Linked DNA regions of Drosophila melanogaster. The protein of the gene in region 3 interacts with the protein of the main gene of each other region in a pairwise test. Each region holds a gene or a part of one and is shown on either strand. Other genes may lie near its edges. The genes, in order: CG31211, CG33169, CG6126 and Cpr50Cb.

What was found.
Region 1: the proteins of CG6126 (region 3) and CG31211 interact in a two-hybrid assay, tested with the Drosophila melanogaster proteins (one large-scale study listed by BioGRID).
Region 2: the proteins of CG6126 (region 3) and CG33169 interact in a two-hybrid assay, tested with the Drosophila melanogaster proteins (one large-scale study listed by BioGRID).
Region 4: the proteins of CG6126 (region 3) and Cpr50Cb interact in a two-hybrid assay, tested with the Drosophila melanogaster proteins (one large-scale study listed by BioGRID).

The regions. Positions count from the first base shown.
Region 1 is NT_033777.3:11,947,850-11,954,538, reverse strand, and holds CG31211 (uncharacterized protein), read right to left. Parts: upstream 4,860-6,689; 5' UTR 4,735-4,859; coding exon 4,185-4,734; intron 4,113-4,184; coding exon 3,755-4,112; intron 3,682-3,754; coding exon 3,528-3,681; intron 3,290-3,527; coding exon 3,047-3,289; intron 2,817-3,046; coding exon 2,714-2,816; intron 2,358-2,713; coding exon 2,301-2,357; intron 1,899-2,300; coding exon 1,774-1,898; intron 1,713-1,773; coding exon 621-1,712; 3' UTR 501-620; downstream 1-500. Other genes in the region: Hsp70Aa (heat shock protein 70 Aa), read left to right, coding at 1-178.
Region 2 is NT_037436.4:22,861,832-22,865,003, forward strand, and holds CG33169 (uncharacterized protein), read left to right. Parts: upstream 1-2,032; 5' UTR 2,033-2,151; coding exon 2,152-2,328; 3' UTR 2,329-2,665; downstream 2,666-3,172.
Region 3 is NT_033777.3:16,197,455-16,204,716, reverse strand, and holds CG6126 (uncharacterized protein), read left to right. Parts: upstream 1-1,633; 5' UTR 1,634-1,883; coding exon 1,884-1,926; intron 1,927-4,822; coding exon 4,823-5,457; intron 5,458-5,519; coding exon 5,520-6,509; 3' UTR 6,510-6,717; downstream 6,718-7,262. Other genes in the region: mtSSB (mitochondrial single stranded DNA-binding protein), read left to right, coding at 181-403; CG31287 (uncharacterized protein), read right to left, coding at 503-709, 767-1,069, 1,124-1,282.
Region 4 is NT_033778.4:13,792,976-13,797,805, reverse strand, and holds the start of Cpr50Cb (cuticular protein 50Cb), read right to left. Parts: upstream 3,030-4,830; 5' UTR 2,868-3,029; intron 2,702-2,867; 5' UTR 2,631-2,701; coding exon 2,601-2,630; intron 1-2,600.

The DNA.
Region 1 (6,689 bases), 4.2 Mb from region 3:
CGAGAAGGAGGAGTTCGACCACAAGCTGGAGGAGCTCACCCGCCACTGCTCCCCCATCATGACCAAGATGCATCAGCAGGGTGCGGGAGCTGGAGCTGGTGGTCCGGGAGCAAACTGCGGCCAGCAGGCGGGAGGATTTGGAGGCTACTCTGGACCCACGGTCGAGGAGGTCGACTAAGGCCAAAGAGTCTAATTTTTGTTCATCAATGGGTTATAACATATGGGTTATATTATAAGTTTGTTTTAAGTTTTTGAGACTGATAAGAATGTTTCGATCGAATATTCCATAGAACAACAATAGTATTACCTAATTACCAAGTCTTAATTTAGCAAAAATGTTATTGCTTATAGAAAAAATAAATTATTTATTGAATTTAAAAAAGTTTACTTGTTTGTATTATTGGGAACTTAATTCCCGTATTCCCGTATGTCCAACTTTAAAAATATATCTAATTATTATGAGGATATTCGCATAACACATGAAAAAAAAACAAATTTTTCTGAGTTTTTAATTTATTAGGCTGATTTAAAACTGTTTACTAAAAAGCATCTTAAACAGAAGAAATAATAATTATGTAATATTAACAATTAACTTCGGATTTTTACGCGCAAGATTTTTCTTAATGGCGCTTGCGCGGATGCGACGCGGAAGTGGAGGAGTATGCTTTCGAGCTGGAGTGGTGAGTGCTTCGCGACTTGGAGCGGGATCTCGTGCGGTGCCGCTTCCGTCCGCTGCTGCTGCTGCCGTGATCATGGCTACGGTTGCTGCCATGATCATGGCTACGGCTGCTGCTCTGCCGCGAGGAGCGGTGGTAACTGCTGCTACCGCCAGCATCTTCGCCTGAATGGCTGGACTCGCGATGTCGGCGCTGTTTCTGGTGGTGACTTCCACTAAGCTGGCTACTACGATGCTGGCGATGACTCCTATCACGGTCCCGCTCTCGCTCCCGCGCCCGCTCCCTTTCTCTGTCGCGATCGCGACGTTCGTATTTGCTCCGACTGCTGCTGTGGTGGCTGCGGTGTCCATGCCGACTGGATCGCTTGCTGCGGCTGCCTGAAGTTTTGGATCCGCTCGAGGTGCTGCTACTGTCGTCGCTATCGCTGCTAGAGCTGCTCCCACTGCTGCTAGACGATGACGAGGGGGACGAGTGGCGGCGCTTGCTTTTTTTATGCGACGACTTGTTGGCCTTGTGCAGCGCCTTGTCAGCCGCAGTCAGCATGGTGGCCACCGACTCCGGCATCTGCAGTAGATTAGTGGCCGGATTGGGAACGGGCTTCAGCTTTTGTGGGCTGCTATTGCTTAGGCTTCCGGGTGGTGGCACCACAGCGGTCGCCACTACTTGTTGCACGAAGCTCTGCGACTGCTGTTTGCCGTCCTTGTTGTCGCTAAAGCGGGTGGTCCGTTCCTTGCGACTGAGTCTTTTGCCTAAATGATGGCAATGTATGCTTAGGAGTTCTTTGGATTTATGTGCATCACCTATACCATTTGACTGCTGATGCTTTTCCTGGGTTGCTTGACTAGCCGACTCACTGGGCGGTTCTGGATTGGCCGCCGGTCGACGATGCTCACCACCACCAGTTACGGAGCGTTCTAGCTCCCGCTTGCGATGTCGCAGCAGTGTTTGCTCATCAAGCAGCTCTTGCTTGGCCACTCGATCCTCAATGTCGTCAATGACTTTCTCGAAGGATCGTTTGCTGCGCCTTATGCGAGCCTAAAAGCCAAATAATATTGAGAATTGATATCTTTTGATAATGAACGTGTGGCTAACTTACTTTCAACTCCTCCGCGCTTAGCTGCGCGCTTTTTTCGGCATCCTTTCCAGCGCCCGCTTGACGCTCATCTTCATCATCCTCATCATCCTCGGTTTCGCTGGAAGAATCGCCATAGGCAGCTAAACCTATAATTCAAATCAGTCAAGTGCTAATTGTTGCTACCAGGCTTCAATGTAGATCGGGCGCAGATTTTGGTATATTTTGAACTGATTTTCAATATCTTCGCAAGAATTTACGGAAAGGTGAAAGGAAGGGGAAATGGGGAAGCGAAAGGACGAAGAAGCGGGCTAGAAAGACCAAACTGCGCCGAGGGGGTCGAAATCATTTGGCCATGGCTTAAATTTACAGGAAGCATAGAATGTTAAATCTCGGCCATAGGAGTAATCCAATTCTTTGTAATATCTTTTCGTTTTGTGATTAGGATTTGGGGTATAGAAAGACAGGATGACCAAGCATAACTCAGACTACCTCTGAACAAAAATAGTGCAAAGAATATGTATGAACTAAACTGGAATTTGGTTACTTACCCAAGTTGCCGGTAATGGAGGACAAGGCGCTTTTGCGAATCACTTGGGCTGATGACGCTTTTGATTTACACATACATACATATATATATATAATTATATATATTATATATTAAAATTAAAAAATTCAGCAAGTGATTTCATTGGTTTGTGTGGTGTTCGATATATCAATTCATTATTAGGGATTTAAAGATTATTAGCATAGACATAGGATTAAAAGAGTTGGTAACGCGCTGTGAAGCCGGAAAAAACACGACTCCAATCGCTTGGCCGAAACATCCGGTCATCCAAGCTACAATCGATCCGCGATATATCCGCGCCGTCTTACGATCTATAACTACTTACACACACACACACGAGCGCGAGCGCTGGAAGAAATCGGTTTGGGATAAACTTAAGTATAATGCATAATGTACCTTTCGCACGGTGTGCTTTTAGAGTCTCGCCTGCAATGGCTGCAATCTCTTCGTTCGTGGTTTCCAGCAGGATTTCGGTTAGTGTCCGACGCACCACAAGCATCTACAGATGGGTGGTATTGGGTGTTCATATTCATTGTTTGCAACTATACAAATGGGTTTTTTTTTTGGATGTGCCGCCGATGGCCAGGGAATGAAACTCTAGTGAAGAGTGAACGAACTGCAGAGCAGCCAGTAAAGTGTTGTCAGAATTCCGCAGTTCCTTCGCCTCTGAGACTCACTCGATTTCATCGCCTGGCTGAGCAAACATCCGGGTCAAATGGTGATGCCTACCAGATCCGCCAGTCTTTCTTCGTAGTTTTTACCATTGACATCGTTTACGGTAGCCATTCTCACGTGCTCCGCCACTGTCCGATTGCCGGTTTCGATGGCTCCATGCAGCTCCGACTCTGGCTCTTCGCTGCTGCTGCTGCTTCGATCGTCGTCCTTACTAATCAATTCATTACCTATTTGCTGCACCTTTAGTTCTCCACGCGCCTCCACAGGCACGTCAATGGAATCTTCGCTGTCGCTAGCCTGAATTTCAAGGGAATGTTTAATCGACAGCCTGCACTCAAGCCTGCAGTCTGCTCTACTGTCCGGATTGTTTTTAAGTTTTGTGTGCTTTCAACGACGAAACATCGTTTTCAGTTTGGTTCAGTCCCGTCTAAATTTTGTGCAACCAATTTGTGTGAGATGGTGTGTGCTACGCTTTCGGCACTTTTCTGTCCGTATTGAGAGTCAGTTAACCCTGCCGCCCATCGACCTTACTTACCACGTTCGCGATGTTCAAAAGATTACCAGGTGTGGTTAGTGTTTTGCTTGATACTTGCTTAACATGGTTGACCTCAACATCTGGCGTGGTCATGGAGGATTGCTGGCGCTCTAGTTGCCGCTGCTTTTCCCGCTCCATTTTCTCCAGGCCCTCTCTGAAAGATTAAGGAAATTATTACAAGTATCTATCTTTTGTGCATCTTATTGTGGTTCTTTGCACACTCATACCTTATCCAAGCTGGCAACATTTTCCGTTTGTTTGCATCGATCTCACTGCTAGCCCCGCTACTTCCGCTTTCCGCATGCGTCTGCTGTGTGTGCTGTGGCGGCAGGTGTGTATGTGGTGTTAGGTGGTGTGGATGTGCATGCGGCTGATGTGCTGGTGGATGGTGTGGATGCGTTGGTTGGGGAGCATGCTGCTGCTGCTGCTGCTGATGCGCTTGCAACTGCAACTGCAGCTGTTGGTGCGGCTCATTGGGATTGCTCACGTTCAGCTTCAGCAGAGATGGTATATGCGCCGTGGAATTGCCTGATTTGTCGGTCTGCATTTGCCACCCGGTCCATGGCTGCTTGCCCAGCGTGACAGCTGCAAGGAACGGAGAGGAGGGTTAGTTGCTGACCTGATTTATTGTGCTATCTTCTTGGATCTTCTACAAACCCGCTCCGTTGGAGGCGTCTGGGATCTGACCAGCCACTTCGGTGCCCGCCAGCCATTGGGATTGCGTAACCAAAGGTGCTGGCGGTGGGGGTGTCTCAGTGCTATGTCCCCGATCATTCTCATCGTCCATGTCCATATCCGCCTCGCCGTGCTCCTCTAGTTGCGGAAATCCCGCCCTGACCACACTGGGCACCGGCATTGCTAGCGTCTGCTGGTGGTATTCTCGCAAATTGCTGATGATGGGCGGCGGAGGGGCCAGGGGCATGGGCACCGGAGTAGCGTCCCGCATGTGGATCCATTGCTGGGCGAGCTGCGCCCAATCGATGCCAACGCCACCCTGCATGGCGAGCGGCAGGCCGGCGGCTACCATGGGCGTCACCATGCCCTGACCGCCCCCGGAGGGCAGTGAAAAATGTGTGGGGGGTGGTGGGGGCTGCGCCAGGAACTGATTGTGATTATGGTTGTGCCCATGGCCATGTTGTCCAAGTCCATGGACGTGGGCATGCTTGTTGTAGCCCAAATCGGCGTTTCCGTTTCCACCAGGAAACATCTCTGCTTGTAGTTCGAATATGCTCTTTAAATCCCAGCTGTATTCCTCAGTTATCGAGGTTTTCTTCACGAGTGAAACGAATTTTCGTCGCCTTCTACGCCATTTTCTTGCTCAGCCCGTTTTGTCATTCGCAGCGAAGCGGTAACAGCGGGTCGCTCATATGACGGTATTTTTTAATACACTTCAGCTATACTGTTATTTCAAAAACATATTTCTTTTGTTACTTTTTATGCAGTTCATTTGCCACCAAAAAGTAGTCTTTTGGATTGATTTATTTCTAAAAATGGTGTAATTCAAGAAATTCAGAGGGCCAAGTAATATACTTAATGACCGTTATTTAAAACACACTCAAGGAGATTTATTTAAACGGCTACAATGGTTTTCCAAATAACTTATTTACTGTTGACTTCTATAAAACATAGGTGTATATATTATTATTTTTTATTGATTTGAGATAATTTTAATTTCCACAATATTTTTTCTTGTGATTAACAGAGAAAGTCAAACTCATAACATTTATCGGGTAAAAGTCTCTATGAAGTAGAGGTTAACAGTGAAGTCGCAAAAGTGTGGCCGTACGCCAATCGAGCGAGTATCCCTAACCTGCAATATTTTTAGTTGGTTTTTTCAGCAATAGCCCCACTTTTCTCAAAGAGTGCAACAAGTGATTCTGTTTATGTTTTCAACAACTTCTCTCTGCGGAACTTAACGTGAGCGGACGTATGCGGACGCGTCGCTGCCGGAAAAATAAGTTGCGTCGGCGTTGCGGCGTTGTTGTTTACGTGTTATAATAAATTTGTGTGCGTGCGAGAAGGGCGCGCTCCTGTCTGTGTTGGTGTTATTGTCGGTCGTTCTCAGCGCGAGTTTCGAAATACCGCATTGTTTAATTACAGCCGCCGCGACTAATTTCAATACAAACAAAAGCTGGTGTGTGAATGAAATTATGCTAAAATAGATAATAGTTAAAGGTAAAAGAAATTAAAAGATGAAGAAGGAGAAGAGGAAGAGAAGTTCTGCAGCGCAGTTGCGTCGGCGCAGCAGCGTTTCTATCGGTGTGTGTCTGAGTCTGTCTGTAGTGGTTTGTCTGGTTTTTTTTCGGGCTGTGTGTGTTCGTGTTTGCCAAGCAACAATTTAATTGCTATTCAATTTTAAAAGCAGTTCAATTGCAAACCATTACAAATATGTAATTTGCTGTCGATTGCTTTTGCACTGGAGTGCGTAATTACATTTTTGAGCCACCAAACACCAAACAGTGCAACTGTTGCCGCTACACTGGGAGCAAAACAGGACGGATAGATGATCAACAGTTCGTTGATTTTACAAAGACAAACGTTTTATTAATATACTTAGCATGTGATTCGATTTAACTGAAAATATATACAAATATTTAGTGGTTGCAAGTTTCTTTGTCATGTTAAGGAAACAAAAGTTCAATTTACGTCTTTATCTATATCAATCTTTCAACCATCAAAATAAAATAAAAAAAAATGAAATATCAACTTAATCTCAGAAATTTGGTATCATACGCAGATCTTGATTTTCTGTGTGCTCTGTAATGGCGTAATCGTAATCTTTGTGCCCCCTTTTAATGATTTAATTAAAAGCGTAAATTGCAGGCCGAAATTCAATTTGTCCGTTTGACTTTTCAATTCGTGTGGGTGGTTCTCTGACATTGGATCGTTGTTGTTTGCTTTTATTTAATTTTTTTTTTTTTGAGTTTTTATTGTAGTTGTGCAACAACACGCACACACACGTAGTAAATAATTAAGTTCGTGCGTCGCGTGCCGTTTTGAATTTTCTTTTTCCTTTTGCTGTGGGGCCCGGAAAATGTTCTCTTCTCACTGCGCGTTTATTTGCATTTCCATCAATGCGAAATTCGACTCGTATAAAATACAATAAAAAATCGTTCGAAAAAAACCAGTTGACCGTGAGATAACTCGTGCATAATTGCTAAA
Region 2 (3,172 bases), on a different chromosome or scaffold from region 3:
ATCAAATATATTGTGGTTTATTGAAGAAAACTTTCAACATATGAGTGGCTTAGAATGAGTACATTTGTTATTTGCGTAGCATGACAACCCTCGGCTATTTGTTAACAAATCCTACTCGTATCCTGAACATAGGCCAGATGGTTAGAAGTGCATTGCGTATTACATTTTAACTTCGATCCTAGCTTGTTTGTAAATTAAGAAGTGCTACCACTAAAATTACTTCTAAGTTGCCTGTGGTACTTGCGTTTAATTGTTCGTTTGATCATTCGAATAGTGCGATCGGAGGCCATTCGACGAAGCCATGCTCCATCAAAACGCCAAATCCTCCGAAGACAGCAATTCTGGCTGCTTGCCGTTTAGATAGAGGTGGCTCGGGGGGGGGGGGGGGGGCAGCTCTGACAATGAGTGAGCAACGATAATCTATTATGACCGTAACAAGAAATAAATCCCAACTCGGTAATCCATCATTTTACGAGTTGGCAATCAAAACAAGGGGTTTAGCTAAGAGTTGGTCTCCCGGCCCCAAGGACGGACAGGTGGACCGGGCTGACGGACGGCGGCCTGGCCAATCAGCGGACTGGCCATCACACATAGCTGGCCAGCGAGCTAACGAACAGGCCGTGTATGATGGTCGTGTAAGCGCTGGCCAGAACCAGGAAACTAAGATTGGACCTGGACGGGAACACGACTTTCGGACAGCCGCGTGCGCATTGAGGCCAATCTGTATGTAACGTGAGGACTCGCCCGGGCTGGCAGGTCTAGGCCTTTAGGGGCCGGCTAAATAGTTGCCAATAATCCGTGTCCAAACTGATCGGGTTGCCGTTTATGGTAATGGGCAAAATTAGATGCCGAAATGTGCGTTGGCTCGCCAGGCTTCATTACCAATGCACAAACTTGGCAGTGCGTCCCGACTGATTGGCCACTCGGCCACGGTTGCCGGCCAGCGGTCTGCATTGTTATTGCTTCATCAAGTGTGCAGCGGCCAGCTTATCCAGCACGTCCGGTGTCCACAATATCCATAGTGTCCAGCACTCGCGGCAGAAGCCCAAGCAGTGACTGCGTGGCATAGACCCGACCCCTGGGAGTATTGCGAACTGCTCAAACATTTTCGAAATCGCATTCAGAGGTGAAGGTGCAACAGTTGCTGGCGTATCTTGTTTCGACGGCCTCGGGTGCAGTTAAAGGGCTTAAAGGGGCGGCAGGCCAGTTAAAGAAAAATATGGGTTAGATTCTTCCGCAGCGCCATGCCAGCGGTCAATACAAAGCAAAATTGAAACGCGGTTCTCTCCGCCTCCGTTTAGTACCGCCTGAGGAAGAACAGAAGCTGTGCAGCATTGACAAAAACCAACCCAAAACCAATAGCTATAATAATGTATAAATATCATTTTTGAATAATAGAAAACTTTCAATTACTAGTAAAAGGTACTCTTTCGAATTTTCGATGCTTGGTATAAAAAAATACCTCTGAAGCAGATAGAAAAACATTCAAATATTTTGACTACGATTTACTTTTAATCTGACTAAATTCGAGTGAGATTTTATTCGTTGCAAGAATTTTGTAATATTTATTGTAATGTATCGTTGTTTCGTTATCTTTGGACAACGTCTATACTCACATATATGCATATACGTTTTTGACTTTCGCCTGCAGTCAAAAATTTATTCAGTCGGCTTTATTTTCTTTTAAACTATATTTATTTTATATTTTGTTTGGGTAAATAAAGTATTCACTATTGACTGGCAAGTGAATTTTGTACAACTTGCTACGACATTTTTATGTTCAGATGGAGGCAAATACAGCCCCAGGTTAATTGATGGCTTTCTAACTTATGAAATGCGTTATTTAATTATAAAGACTTTTTTAAACGCGCGCTTCCGTCCCAGAGACATTGTTCAACACTAGTCGGCCGGACGTGTCATCAGAGTAACCCGACCAGAAACTGCATGAAATAAGCAGCACTGTCGACAGTCAAAAGCTGCCTGCTTTTAGCCAGCCCAGTCGAACGTTTCTTCTTCTTCTTTGGCCCAGAAACAACTTGTTGAACGAAAGAAGGCCAGCTCTCTGTTTTGTTGCTCCACGCACACACATTCCGACGAGTGTTACACGTCACCAGATTAAAGGAACTATCGCAAAAACTATCAGTGATAAAGATGCGCCAGCTGAAGGGAAAGGTGAAGGAGACGCGCAAACAGAAGAAGGAGCGCAAGCTGGACAACCTGGAGACCCAGGCGAAGATCCGCACCGTGGTGCTGCCGGCGCTCGGCGTTTTGGCGGTCTTTCTGGTGCTGTTCGTCTACTTGAAGACCCGCCCCGCGGTCTTGGCCTAATGTAGTCATAAAATGTAGTTTATAGTCGTGGTCAGTGCAATTGAATCGTTGTAAAGACATATAGCCTTAATAGTACAATTAAATCACAGTTCGTCCATCCAAAAAGCATGTTTTACATAAAGTGGATTTTCCATGACACGAACAACACCCTGCTGTTCAAGTGCAGTTCCTGGGAATTTGAGATTTGGGGACAAAATGTATCCGAATTACGGTCGTTGGTGGTAGTGTTGAAAACCGTCTAGCGCTTTGGCGGTTGATTAAAAAAGGGCACTAGGAAACGGTAAAAACCGTAGCAGAGGCACTTCAATATGTAAATATGTGCATATGTATATTAGAGAAGGCGGCATCCACCAACATGTTTTATTTTTGGCCGTTTTGCGTTCAGTTTTTAATTGCGATTGCCCTTGTTTCAGTTTCACTTACGCCCGTCCACCGAGGAGCTCGTCGTCGGTGACCGCAAACTAATAATTGTTAATACATATGCATATGCATGTACATAAATTGAAGTAAAAGTTCAGTGCTCGAAAGGCAGTAACTTAACTCCATAGTTATCAGAGTCAGCCAAATACGATTACCTAACCATACAAACACAAATCGCAGTGGGCCAGTCAGCTGTTTTCAGATTCCGAGCAGCTGCAGACGAAGCGCCGAAGCAGCGTCGTTTGACGTTTCTTTTTCACATTCTCTCACTTTTGCTAAGACTCTCACGCTGGCGGCTGCGGGTGACAAAGGCTCCTTTAACTATTCCACTATGCTCAAGTTTCTGGTAAGTTTTCCGGTTTCCTGATGTTTTTAAGTTTATGATTCACACCTGAAATCATATCAGATACGAGATACAACTTTT
Region 3 (7,262 bases):
TATTAGAACATTTGCTGTATGTAATTACCTAATGATAACGGCAATAGTGTACATTTCCTTGTTCAATTAACTTCAGTGATCAATTTCTTCTTAGGATCCATGAAATGCCGGATTTCATAAAGAAAATAGCTACCATTTCATTTAAAAAGCATTCATGAAGTCTTAAATATTTCCCCACAGATATGAGAACGGCGACTGGGCCCAACGCACCGACTGGCATCGTGTAGTGGTGTTCAAGCCCAATCTGCGTGACACCGTGCTGGAATACTTGAAGAAGGGACAGCGAACCATGGTGCAGGGAAAGATCACCTATGGAGAGATCACCGACCAGCAGGGCAACCAGAAGACTAGCACCAGTATCATAGCCGACGATGTGTTGTTTTTCCGTGATGCCAACAACTAAAATTTAAGCCCAGATCACCAAACCTAATCTTAAGCGAAAAGTTGAACTTGCAGCATTGTAAGCATTTATAATATTCGTTGGATATATTGTGTTATCAGATTACATGCGTAGTCGTACTCCACATGTGTCTTTTGGTTTTAACTCCTTGACCTTTTTGCATGGGAACGGTGCGTTGAATTGGCGTGCATGTTCGTTATAAAGCTGCTCGAACTCCTTTTGAACTTGTGTGACCTGGCTCTTCAATTTTTCGATATTTTTTTCCATAGACTCCAGTGTATTATTGTGGTAATCGATAAGCTTGGTTACCTGTTGATACACTCACTTTAGAAACTCTAAATACAACTTTTAGTCATCATTTCATACCAAATTTACGGAAGGTACTTTTGCGGATATCTGCTCATTATACGTCGCGACCTCCTCTTTGATCTGATTGCAATGATCGACTGTTTTTTTCGAAGACATCAGCATACTCAGCAAATCCTGATATGTGGTACTTGCCAAAGGAAACACTTGGCCTGCCAGACTCTCAGGACTCGGATAGCTCTGCTCCAATTTCGTAACTGCTTTCTCCGCCTGTATAAGGTTAATCTCGTTTTCATGCAGCTCCATTTCTACCCTAAGCATGGTGCACTTTACTGATCTCAGGGTATCATCGATGGGAAGTGCCTGTTGGAGTATGAAAAATTTATATCCTGTTTGCCTATGGCCATTGAGTCTCACATTTTTGGCATTGTCTAGGCAAATTTGTTCCTGTTCCTTAAGAAATTTTAACTTGGTATTGAAATCTGATTCCATTTCAAGGCTGTCCTGCATTAAAATATCCGCCAGCATATCCAAGTACAGGAATGTCGACGGATCTGATAAGTTTGGCTCACACATAATTTTAAAATTAACTTTAAATGAATTTTATGTATTTTTTGTATGTGTTTTTGTGACTTATGTTTTGTTTGTCACTGAGTGTTAGGCAAATCAAAGCTTGCTAAGGTATGAGTTTTCTGATCGTATTCTAATCTAAGGGATCCTTGCCAAGAGGCATCATTTATTTTCATACATCAAGGATTATAATGGTGATTACAGTTTTTGAAGCTCTTACCCTCGAGCAGAGTTTGCTCTTTAGTTCCCAACTTTGGAGACCTCCACAAGCTCTCTTCGCTCGCGAGCTTGGAGCGACCTTATCGCCATTTACCACTCAGTTTTCTCGCTGAGCGACACAGTTCGCAGTTAGTTTTTGCCAGTTCAAATGCTGCCGGCGGTCGGAAGAGTTGATAGCTGATCGAGCGCTCCGTTTGCGATTTTGTTTCACTCGAGCACGTTGTTTATCCCGGATTCGTTTTGCATCTTCGCGACCCGTAACTATCAGCAGTGCTGCACTGGTGTGCCATTCATACATGCTCCACTTCTGCAGAAGATGACGATTTGTTAAGAAGCAATAGCAAACAGTTACTTTCATTTATTTTTGATTATCAATAAAAAATCAAACATGGCTGTGGATTATGTACTGGAGGACCTGATGGGGAAACTTGGTGAGTGGAATGGGCTTTTGGGAGCGAAGACTTTTGAAAGGTCAGCTGTTACGTTGCCAGGCGTCTCCATCCCGTGCTGATAAGAGCCTGGCGTTATGCTTATCATTTTGAGAGGTCTTATCAGCGTTGCAAGCTACTATGGATAATATTTTGTTTCACGACGACCAATGAGGTTTACCGCCCAACCTTCTGTTCTGCTTTTAAAATCTATAATTAATTTTTCCGTATTATGCTTTTAATCTCCGCCTAATCTATCCGGCTGGCTGTCCGTCACGTCAAGTGCTCAAAAGAAGCCGACTATAATACTTTTTTAATTGCAACTATTTTCATTTTCATTTTGCACTATTCTTAATTTAATAAATCGTCGAGGCCACCAAGTGACAGACATTTATGACAGCTTGATAGAGACTCCGACCTGTTGCTCCCCTTTTGACTATATACCATACCAAGTATGTATTTATGTACACATATAGTCGACACATGTTCGTGTGGGCCAAGTTCTGAGCTGGAGGCTGTCTGACACTTGTTGAGCCTACTTGGCTTTAGCACAGTGACGCTAAAACGAGTGTGGCGGCTAACAGGCAAACAAAAATAAAACGGGTGCAAAAGGGGCGGTATCTGTCACAAGACTGTGAAGTAGGCTCGTCATAAAGATCTTGGGATCTACGGATATCTGGGTATTTGCTTATAATTTATTATATACTCTAATTGTGCGGTTCAAACATTGCAGCTAGCTTGTGGAAGCTACAAAATTAAGCGTGTTTATATGCAGTATGCAAAATAGTTAAGATTAATTGTGGGAATACAGTGGAAGATCGATGGATAAACAGTTTTATTTGTCACGGCTACAAATTAGAAATTTATGAGTCACATAAAATATGAGTTGGAATATAAAATTTGTGTCAACGATTGTGCTGAAATTGTCGTTAATTAAAATAGAACAGTTTTTTACAATCCGAAACTGGTTTTGTATTAAGCATTCGCAAAACCGCAGCCTATAAGAAAGTGACAGGAGAGAGGGAGTAATAATCGCATTAGCGACTTTTTTATTCGTAATATATTCGCATACATTTGTATCTGTGAAATGCAAAAAACCTTAAACTGGTTTGCTCACATTCAACTATATGGCAATACCTCCCTCAGCCATCAAAATTCACATATCGCTCTTTTATTTCTGTTTACTTTGTTGAAGGCCTATTGGCGAGCAGCAACTCTAATTACTTCGAATTTGGAGGCGTGTTGCATTGCTGAGTTGGTTGTTATTTGTACGTAAGAAGGTTACCATAAAACCAGCAACTTAAAATGACTTTGAGAGCACTTCCACACGTGCTATGTGGAGAGCACAGAACAGAACTAAATCGACCTTCAGTTGTTAGTAAACGCGGGAAGTGAAAATGTTGAAGTACGGATGAACAAAAACCGAAGGAAGCCTTAAAGTGGAGGTGTAAAACCATGATCTACCTCAATTATTCGAATCATGATACTTAAGCACAAAGGAAATTTTAAAAGCTTTGAAGAAATCAACTCTGAAATAAAGCAACAGTTGATAGTAGAATAACAGTAGATTAATATACATGTGCAATATTGTTAGAAATATGACTGCATTATTTTTTAATATTCCGTGTTCTTATCCATCTCACTTATCGCTCAAAAAGTTTGCCCAGAATAAACAACGGTCCAAACCTGCGCCATATTCATTTTAATGTGCAAACTGTTGGTTTTGTACATCATAATAGATGGCTTACGATTAAGAGAACAACAAACATTGACAGGGCCAAAAACAAATGTCGTATTCAAGGGCCACTTGGCAACAATTATACGGCTAGTTATATTGGACGGATGCAATAAATCTGAAGCAACAATATCACTGATATATGATCTAGCATTTGGTGGCCTCTGATAATCCGCTATGAGTTCCACATTAGTATTTACTATTACGAGTTTAGTTATCACAAATTTGGCCAATCGATTTCCTAGATTGTGCTCAATTATACGCTGATTATGTCTATTGGGGGCGTAATTGAATTTCATTAGGCGTAGAGTCAAATTTTATAATTGAGATTAATTAAGTCAACCCGATGACATAATTTTACACTTCACGCAATCGTTTTAATAATGAAAAATGAAAATTCTCAGACGTTTTACTCATGATTTGTCGATTGCAACGTAACCGGGGTGAACGTAACTTTTCATTTGATGGCAAGAGTTTCGTTTAAACGATCAATAAACGTAACCCACAAATCAATTGAAACGGCTGATTGAACATTGGACCGTGATCAAGTGTCAAATTCTCGTATCTAGGCTACATACTGTCCATGTCGTTAGAAATTTACACAGCCCCTGGCCTCCCATCAACGCGATCGCCATGGACTGACTGACCAGCCAAGTCATAATCGATTCAGTGCATTCTCCCAAGACATCCGAGTCTCTTTTCATGGCGTTCGAAACCAAAACCAAACCAAACCAAACTGTGGGCAAATATTTGACGGGCTAGGCGAATGCGCTTCAATTGAAATCGAATTGAATAAATTCCACTTGATTTAATTGCAAAGCCTTTGGAGTGACGACAATTCCAGCGATACCCATTAAAAGTTCCCATCTACATAAAAGTCGGCTGTTTCTTTGGGTTGTGTTTTTATCGCAGCTACGTGATGTTCAAATTCAAATACTGAAATAAAAAACCGTTTTAAATAATTTGAGCTAGAACAACTTCCGTTTTCAGCTCAACTTACTTTCTTTTTATTATATTTAATCGTAAACTGGGTGATTCATGGGTGCTACAGATTATCACTATCTATCATGTTGCTGAAAGCTCACATTTGTTGTGCGCTCATAACCTTTCCCAAGACATTAATGATTGTGAAATGTCTTTCTATTTTTTTCTATCCAATTGCAGGGGAGTTTGGAAAGTACCAGTTCCTGCAGTTCTTCCTGCAGGTGCTCTCCGGCCTGACCGCTGGCATGCACATGCTATCGCTGGTCACGGTGGCCGCCGTGCCTGAGCATCGCTGCTTCATCGAGGGCGTGGATAACAGCAGCTTGTCGGTGACACCATGGAACTCGAGCGCTATCCTGGCCGCCATTCCGCTGAAGCCCAATGGCGAGCTAGAGTCCTGCCTCATGTTCGATCCCAGTAGTCCTGGCACCAATACCACCATCAATTGCGAACGTTACGTATACGACACGACGTACTACAAGACTTCGCGCACCATCGACTGGAACTTTGTGTGCGATCGCCGCTGGATGGGAGCCATTGTGCAGACCGTGTTCATGCTGGGCGTGTTCACAGGCGCAGTCACCCTTGGCGGACTCGCCGACAAAGTGGGTCGGAAAACCGTGTTCTGCTGGTCGGCCCTGTTCCAATTGATCATCGGTGTGGGTGTGGCCTTCATTCCCGAGTACTTCTCATTCATGGTGGCTCGCTACCTGCTGGGCATTGTGGGATCAGCGGGTGCCTACATCTGTGGGTTCGTGCTGACCATGGAACTGGTGGGACCTACCAAGCGTACTGTGTGCGGCATTACCTTCCAGGTGAGGAAGACTTCAATAGATTTTGCATTTTTTAAACTGGCTATACCATGCAATACTTTTAGGCTGTTTTCGCTGGTGGCATCATGTTGGTGGCCGGATGGGGAGCACTCATCCCTGACCGCCAGTGGCTCCAAGTGATCTACGGACTGCATGGCTGTCTGTTCCTGGGCCACTGGTGGTGGCTCGATGAATCTCCGCGCTGGCTGTGGATGCAGGGACGTGCCGCCGAGGCGGTGGATATTGTGGCCAAGGGCCTGAGAATCAACGGATCGGGCATCCCGGTGGACAAGGAGTACTATGTGCAGAAAGCCAAACAGCAGGCGGCGGCCGAAGAAAAATCCAGCGCCGGATTGAGCGACCTCTTCCGCACGCCCAACTTGAGGATGAAGACTTTGAACGTGTGCCTCTGCTGGTTCGCCAATTCTCTGGTTTATTACGGACTATCGCTCAGTGCCGGCAAGCTGTATGGAAATCCCTACCTGATCCTGTTCATCATGGGCCTCGTGGAGTTCCCCAGCTACATAACCATTGTGTTCGTCCTAGATCGCCTGGGTCGTCGATCGATCACCTCCACCCTGATGTTGGGTGGCGGTCTATGCTGCATTGTGGCCGCCTACATTGCCCAGGGCAGCACCACCTCCACGGCGGTGGTAATGGCAGGAAAGCTCCTCATCGCCGGTTCCTTTGCCGTAATCTACAATTACTCAGCCGAACTGTTTCCCACCGTGGTGCGGAACTCGGCCATGGGATTGGGATCGATGTGTGCCCGTTTGTCGGGAGCCCTTACTCCGCTCATTACATTGCTGGACTCATTTGATCCGAAGATACCGGCCGTGCTGTTCGGCGTGGTGGCCCTGATCTCGGGCTTCTGGGTTATGTTCCTGCCGGAGACAATGAACCAGCCCATGCCCGAGTCCATTGAGGATGGAGAGAACTTCGGAAAGGGAGATACTTGGTTCAGTCAGTGTGCTGGTCGCAAAAAGCGCCAGAATAGCGTATATCCCGACGATCCGGAGCAAATGGTGCCGCTCAAGAACATCGAGAGCAAGTAGAACCTAGCCAAAGACGATTGTTTCCCAAGTCCAAAATCCAGCTTAAATTCCTTGTTACCCTGTGTTTTCTTGTTAAGAATTCTACTCTTCTGCCTAGTAGTAAGATTTAATAGTTTCTATTCATTCCAAGCGAATAAAACGATGTGCAGAATATGGGGAATCCTAATTTGTGGATTCACTCATTTCTGAGTGTCCCTTTGTTGTTTGTACGGATTTTTTCTTTTAATTTTTTCGGTGGTAAAATTTAGTTTAAAGGAAATTTAAATGCTTGACGAGCATTTTTACTGATTAGTGTTGTCTACTTTTAGGCTCTATCAATTTAGGCGCAGATTCATAGCTTGAATTTCAATTTTCTCTACGGTAAAACCAGTACACACCAAAAAATTATTTCCCAACTATTTCCAATTAAAGTTTATTCTCCGACCGACACAGCCAATTCGGGTTCGTCTGGCCTTGCAAAGTTTCAGTAATTTCCACTCAATTGCACTATCGAATTGCCAATTGCCGACAGGGATTTCCAATGTCAAATCCATAACCCATCGCTTCCCTTTGCTCCACATGATGTTTAACCCGCCAATTAAAGTTTGTTTAAAGAGAGAGTTTTGGTTTTTCGGTTTTTGTTTCTTGTTTGGTAATTCTTCATTTTGTTTTGTTTGGTACATTTGAGAACATTCATTTCGAATTTGAATATATTTTCAATTTAAATTTTAACTACACGTAGGCATATAGATTTATAAACGTATGTATGTGTAT
Region 4 (4,830 bases), on a different chromosome or scaffold from region 3:
CAGCTTCGACTTTCGGCTTTTGCCAGCTCATCATCATCATCAGCAGCAGCAGCAGCAGCAGCACCATCATCGGACGGACTCAAATATCAAACTGTGAATATTTTAGGTTTGTCATTTGAAATTCAAAAGCGTGCCCGAATGAATGCCAGTCAATGCTACCAATCGTTTCTCGAATTCTTTGCCACCAGTTCTGCAATTTTCGCGTGCGAAAATGAGCAGCTGGAATCATGGGCATTAATATGCAGCAGCAGTTGGGCATTACTAGCTGGTGTGGGTGCTCGACGTATTCGTACTCTGTACCCTATAGTTGGCTAGCTGGGTAGTTGGCCAGTTGAGTCTCCCCCGGGCTGAAATTAACATGTAAAACATGCTCGCCCCGATGTTCTCAAAAGCCCGTGCACTCGACTGGCCAGCGGCCATTTGTCTATCGAGTGTCTGCCTTTTGGTGGGCGGATGTGGCAGTGGGTGGTTGGGCTCCTGGTTTTTATTTTTGGCTTGGTACGCTTCCGTGCCTGCTGTTATTCGCCCAGTTCGGGCCAAAACAAGAATGGTAAAAAAAAAGGAGAAGAAAATAAGGGGAATATAGCGGCATTGGGGAAATGGAGAATCGCTGGTGAAAAGTCAAAAAGTTACAAGCGGCAAATTACACGCGTCTGGCTGGAGTTCTACACTCTGCTCTCAAACTCTATTCCTTTGCTATCGTCTGGTGTACCTTTTGGAAGTTATCTGCTTGGCAGACCAGACGCATCAGAGATGGAGGAGTGCACTGCGAGAAAAACCGCTGAAAAAAAACATGGCTAATAGAAGAACATTTAAGATCTAACACTTTGGCCTCAAACATTGCATATATATTGCGTTTATTTTAACTACTAGTTATGCTCGTCCATTAATCACGATTACGTTAATCGTAAAAATTCATTCGAGTAATTACATGATGTATGACCAATTAAATTTTAATTAGATATTGATTATGTCTTCTTTGAAAATCTTCATACATTTGAATGGCTTTCATTGAGTACCTATTAATATAATTTTATATCTCAATCTTTTTAGACACTTTTGGTTTTTGAAGAAATCTAATTTTTCTCCTGTGTGCTCACGTAACGCGGAATGGGCGGAGGTACATTGGATGGATTCCAGACAGTGTGGTCTGCCGTCTGGACCTGCATTGCATCCAAGTGTCGCACCAACAATTTAACACGCCCCAGTTACAAAAAATAAAAGGACATCAAGGAGCAGCCAGCGAAACTCGCGTCTGTTTTATTTTGTTGCCTGCTTAAGGGCGTCGTCCCAAAACGCGATTCAAAATGCTTTAACAATGGCGAACAAGTGAAAGTATTTCGCAGTTTACAAGTGTGCTCTTGATTGCGGGTTAACTTCTGGACTTCCAGGAAAAGTATTCAATACTGTAATTTCACAATAAAATTGTGAGAATATGGAGAATTTCCAAAGCGAAATGTGTAAATTAATAGGTAACAGAAAGGATTTTGGATCACCTAGAAATTTCTTAGTTGCACAACTCTTTCTGTGTCAATTTACAGCAATTTGAAACAAATTATATAAATATTTTTACGAAACTATATTAGTAAAGTATAAAGTATATTTTTCAACAATTTGATGAAAAAAAACTTGTGTCAATTTAGCACCAGCTAAGAAAAGTTTGCCTACAAAATAAAGTCAAGTTGGAGCCTTATATATTTGCAATTGTTCAAGGGGAGCAAAAAGGTTTGCAATTTTCCTCAGATGATGCCTAAATACGAAAGGGGAAATATATTACCAACATGTGTCCTCCGCCTTACAACCTTTTAGCCTTCTCCGAAACTCAAGTGTTTAGTTAGGAACAATCAGGGAGTATTGCTTAGATTTGGGGCGTATTTTACGTGGCACTTGGCAAACGCAGATGTTGCCAAATATTGAATGCGTATCCATGGAGGAGTACGTACAAGTACATATGTATATATATATATATATATTAACCAGAGCGGAGTGGAGCACTTAAGTGTCTTTGATTATTTGCAATTTGTTCGATTCGGCGGGGTTACTTTGGCCCCTTCGCCACTTGACTTTCGTGTGTGTGTGTGTGTGGACTTGGGTTTTGATTATGATGATGATGATGAGAGGCTCTGTGGCAGACGTGTGGCAAGTTATGCAATCATTTTCGTTGCCATTGACGGCAAGTGTTACCAAAAAAAAACGAAAAAAAAGGAAGGCAAACAGTTTGCCAGGCACTTGAAACAACCAGTTTGATGGGTAGTTGCCTTCAGTTCTCCTAGCAAATCTCATTTAAACTTTCCCCAAAAGCCGCAGCAGAAAAATGACATTGTAGACGAAAAAGGACACTGAGTGACCACGGGTCATTTTTCCCTGCCAGCGATAAACAAATTTGACATATAACAAGCTTAGCTTGCTGGCCTTTCCACACACATACACATACATGCAAACATACATACATATATAGTTTCGCTTTAGCCAAAGGACACGCCTGCGAAATCTCATATGATTTGTTTGGCCAACTGATTTATGTAGGCTTAGCTATGTTTTTTTTTTCCAGGCCCAGAAATACATGTCCTTGTTTTATGTACGTATGTATAAATACTCACAAGCAGGACGAACGACTTGAAGGACATCATTTTGTTAGTTGAGTTTCGATTTTACGTTCACAGACGATGGCAAAAAGTAGTGTATCCACAAACGCCGCTGGCTGAAGTTGAAATTGAATTGAATTAAATTAAATTCATTAGAGTTGTCAATTATTTCATTTATATTGTTTCGAGTTAATCGAGTGTCTTTTGTGTTATTTTTATGATTATTGCACACTATTTAATTTGTAGTCCTTCGCTTGCCACAATAGTTGTATTAACTCTTACTTTCACCGGGCGGGGGAGGGTTTTATTTTTTTATCACCGGTTGGATTTCTCAACTAGGAGGGGGCCTCAGTTAAAGAGGAGGTGGTTTTATCTTTTTAGGTTCGGCTAGATTGATTTCCTAGACAACCGCACGAAGTACACGAACGTTTTGAATTAGGTTAGACAATGGAGATGCGCTTGCTTTTTATAATAAACGCTCAAAGACGCTGGCAGCGACGTCGGCGGCGACGGCGACTGCGGCAGCGGCGGTAGCAGCGGCGTTCGCGTTGCCAACTGCACCTAAAAGTAACGAAAAAGCGGTTTGAACAATTGAGGCAAGTCTAGCGCCTAACTTCTAGATCATCTGCCTCCGTGGAGCTGGAGCCAAGAGCATCCACATCCACGAGTCTCTCAGAATGGCCCAAAGAGAGCGCAGCGTTGCTCTCACCGTTTTGGCCAAGTCTTGGTGTTGAGGTGGTGAAAAATGTTGCAGATCATCGCCGTGGCACGATCATTACGATGATGGGTAACGAGATGATAAATGAATGGCTGGCACGATGATGATGAAGCTCGGGCGGATGTATAACAAGATGAGTTCGAGTGGAGAGCCTGCAACGCCCCGAATGACTTCATTAAATACTCGGCCAAATTTGATATTTAAGCCAAGCTTTTATGAAGTCTGGGCCCTCGGGCGATGCAGTTGCCATCGAGACGATACGAAAATGTCACTGGGAATGTCAGATGATAGGTTTCGTTTTAGCCTCCAAAGATACAGTCGCCCTTTTTCGAAATATCTATATATTTATTTTTGTTTGTTTTTTCTTCTTTTTTTTTTTTTTGCCATTTGGCCTTTGGGAAAGCATCAGAACATAGAATAAGTTTGGTGAGAAGTACGTGATGCGGTTGCCCGGGGAAAATTGCACAAGCTGCACAAACGTGTTCATGTGGCGTCCCAATTTCCCGCAGCACCTCTGCCAAAATGCAATCTATGACGTGAGGCTCATGCCAAAGATCCGTAGCCGAGGCCCCGAAACTCATCCATTGGCCATTGCACAAGGCTGGCAGACGTGTCGAGTGCCTTTGGGCCAACTTCCTCCTTCCAACCAACATCAACCGCATGGCTCCTTTTCTTCCGTCAGGCCTCAAATCCCATCCCATAACCAATTAACCTTGAATGTATCACAGCGCCTCTGTACGAGCCGAGATTAAATAACAATTAAAAGCAATCCGATGACTGATTTCAGAGTTTCTTCACATTTTTATTGACCACTTGCGAGGTGGCGATGTGTGCGTGCGTGCGATATTAAAATTAGATATTGAAATTATTATGGGGAGCAATCAATCGAAAATAGCTACACTTACAATCAACCCATCTTATAATCAGTGATGCGAAAATCTTGTACCAAAATCGAAATGTTATTACCAATTACACTGGGCTATGACTAAAACTATTATTAATATAATATTATATATTTGTAATATTAGATATGGTATTAGTTTTCAATAGCTGCAATCTTAAAGATACTCTAATATCTCAATATCTTATTTTTATAAGCAATTTTATTAGATTTTATTAGTTTGGTACCCATTTTCCAAGGTAACATTTCGTGTACCTAAGATGTTACCTCTATCAGCGCCGCTTACACCTGCTGGCAATCTTCAATGGACCGCTGTGAAAAGTAATTGAACAACTTTTGGTTACTTTTAACTTTAGATTTCCGTGACACTTGAGCTGCGGATACACATGTGCGCGCGTGTGTGTATGTGGTGTGTGTGTATCTCAAACGGTCTTCTTCACGCGGAGGCGAACGTACTGTCAAAACGATGTCTTAACAACATAATACCCGCCGACAATCGGGGCCAACTGGCAACTGAAAACTACCAACTGGTCCGATTGTTCGGATTGTTGGGATTGTTACCCATATCGCAAACTCTGGGGGCAAATTGAAATTTCTTTTGAGACGCTCTCGAAATCAAGTGCAAT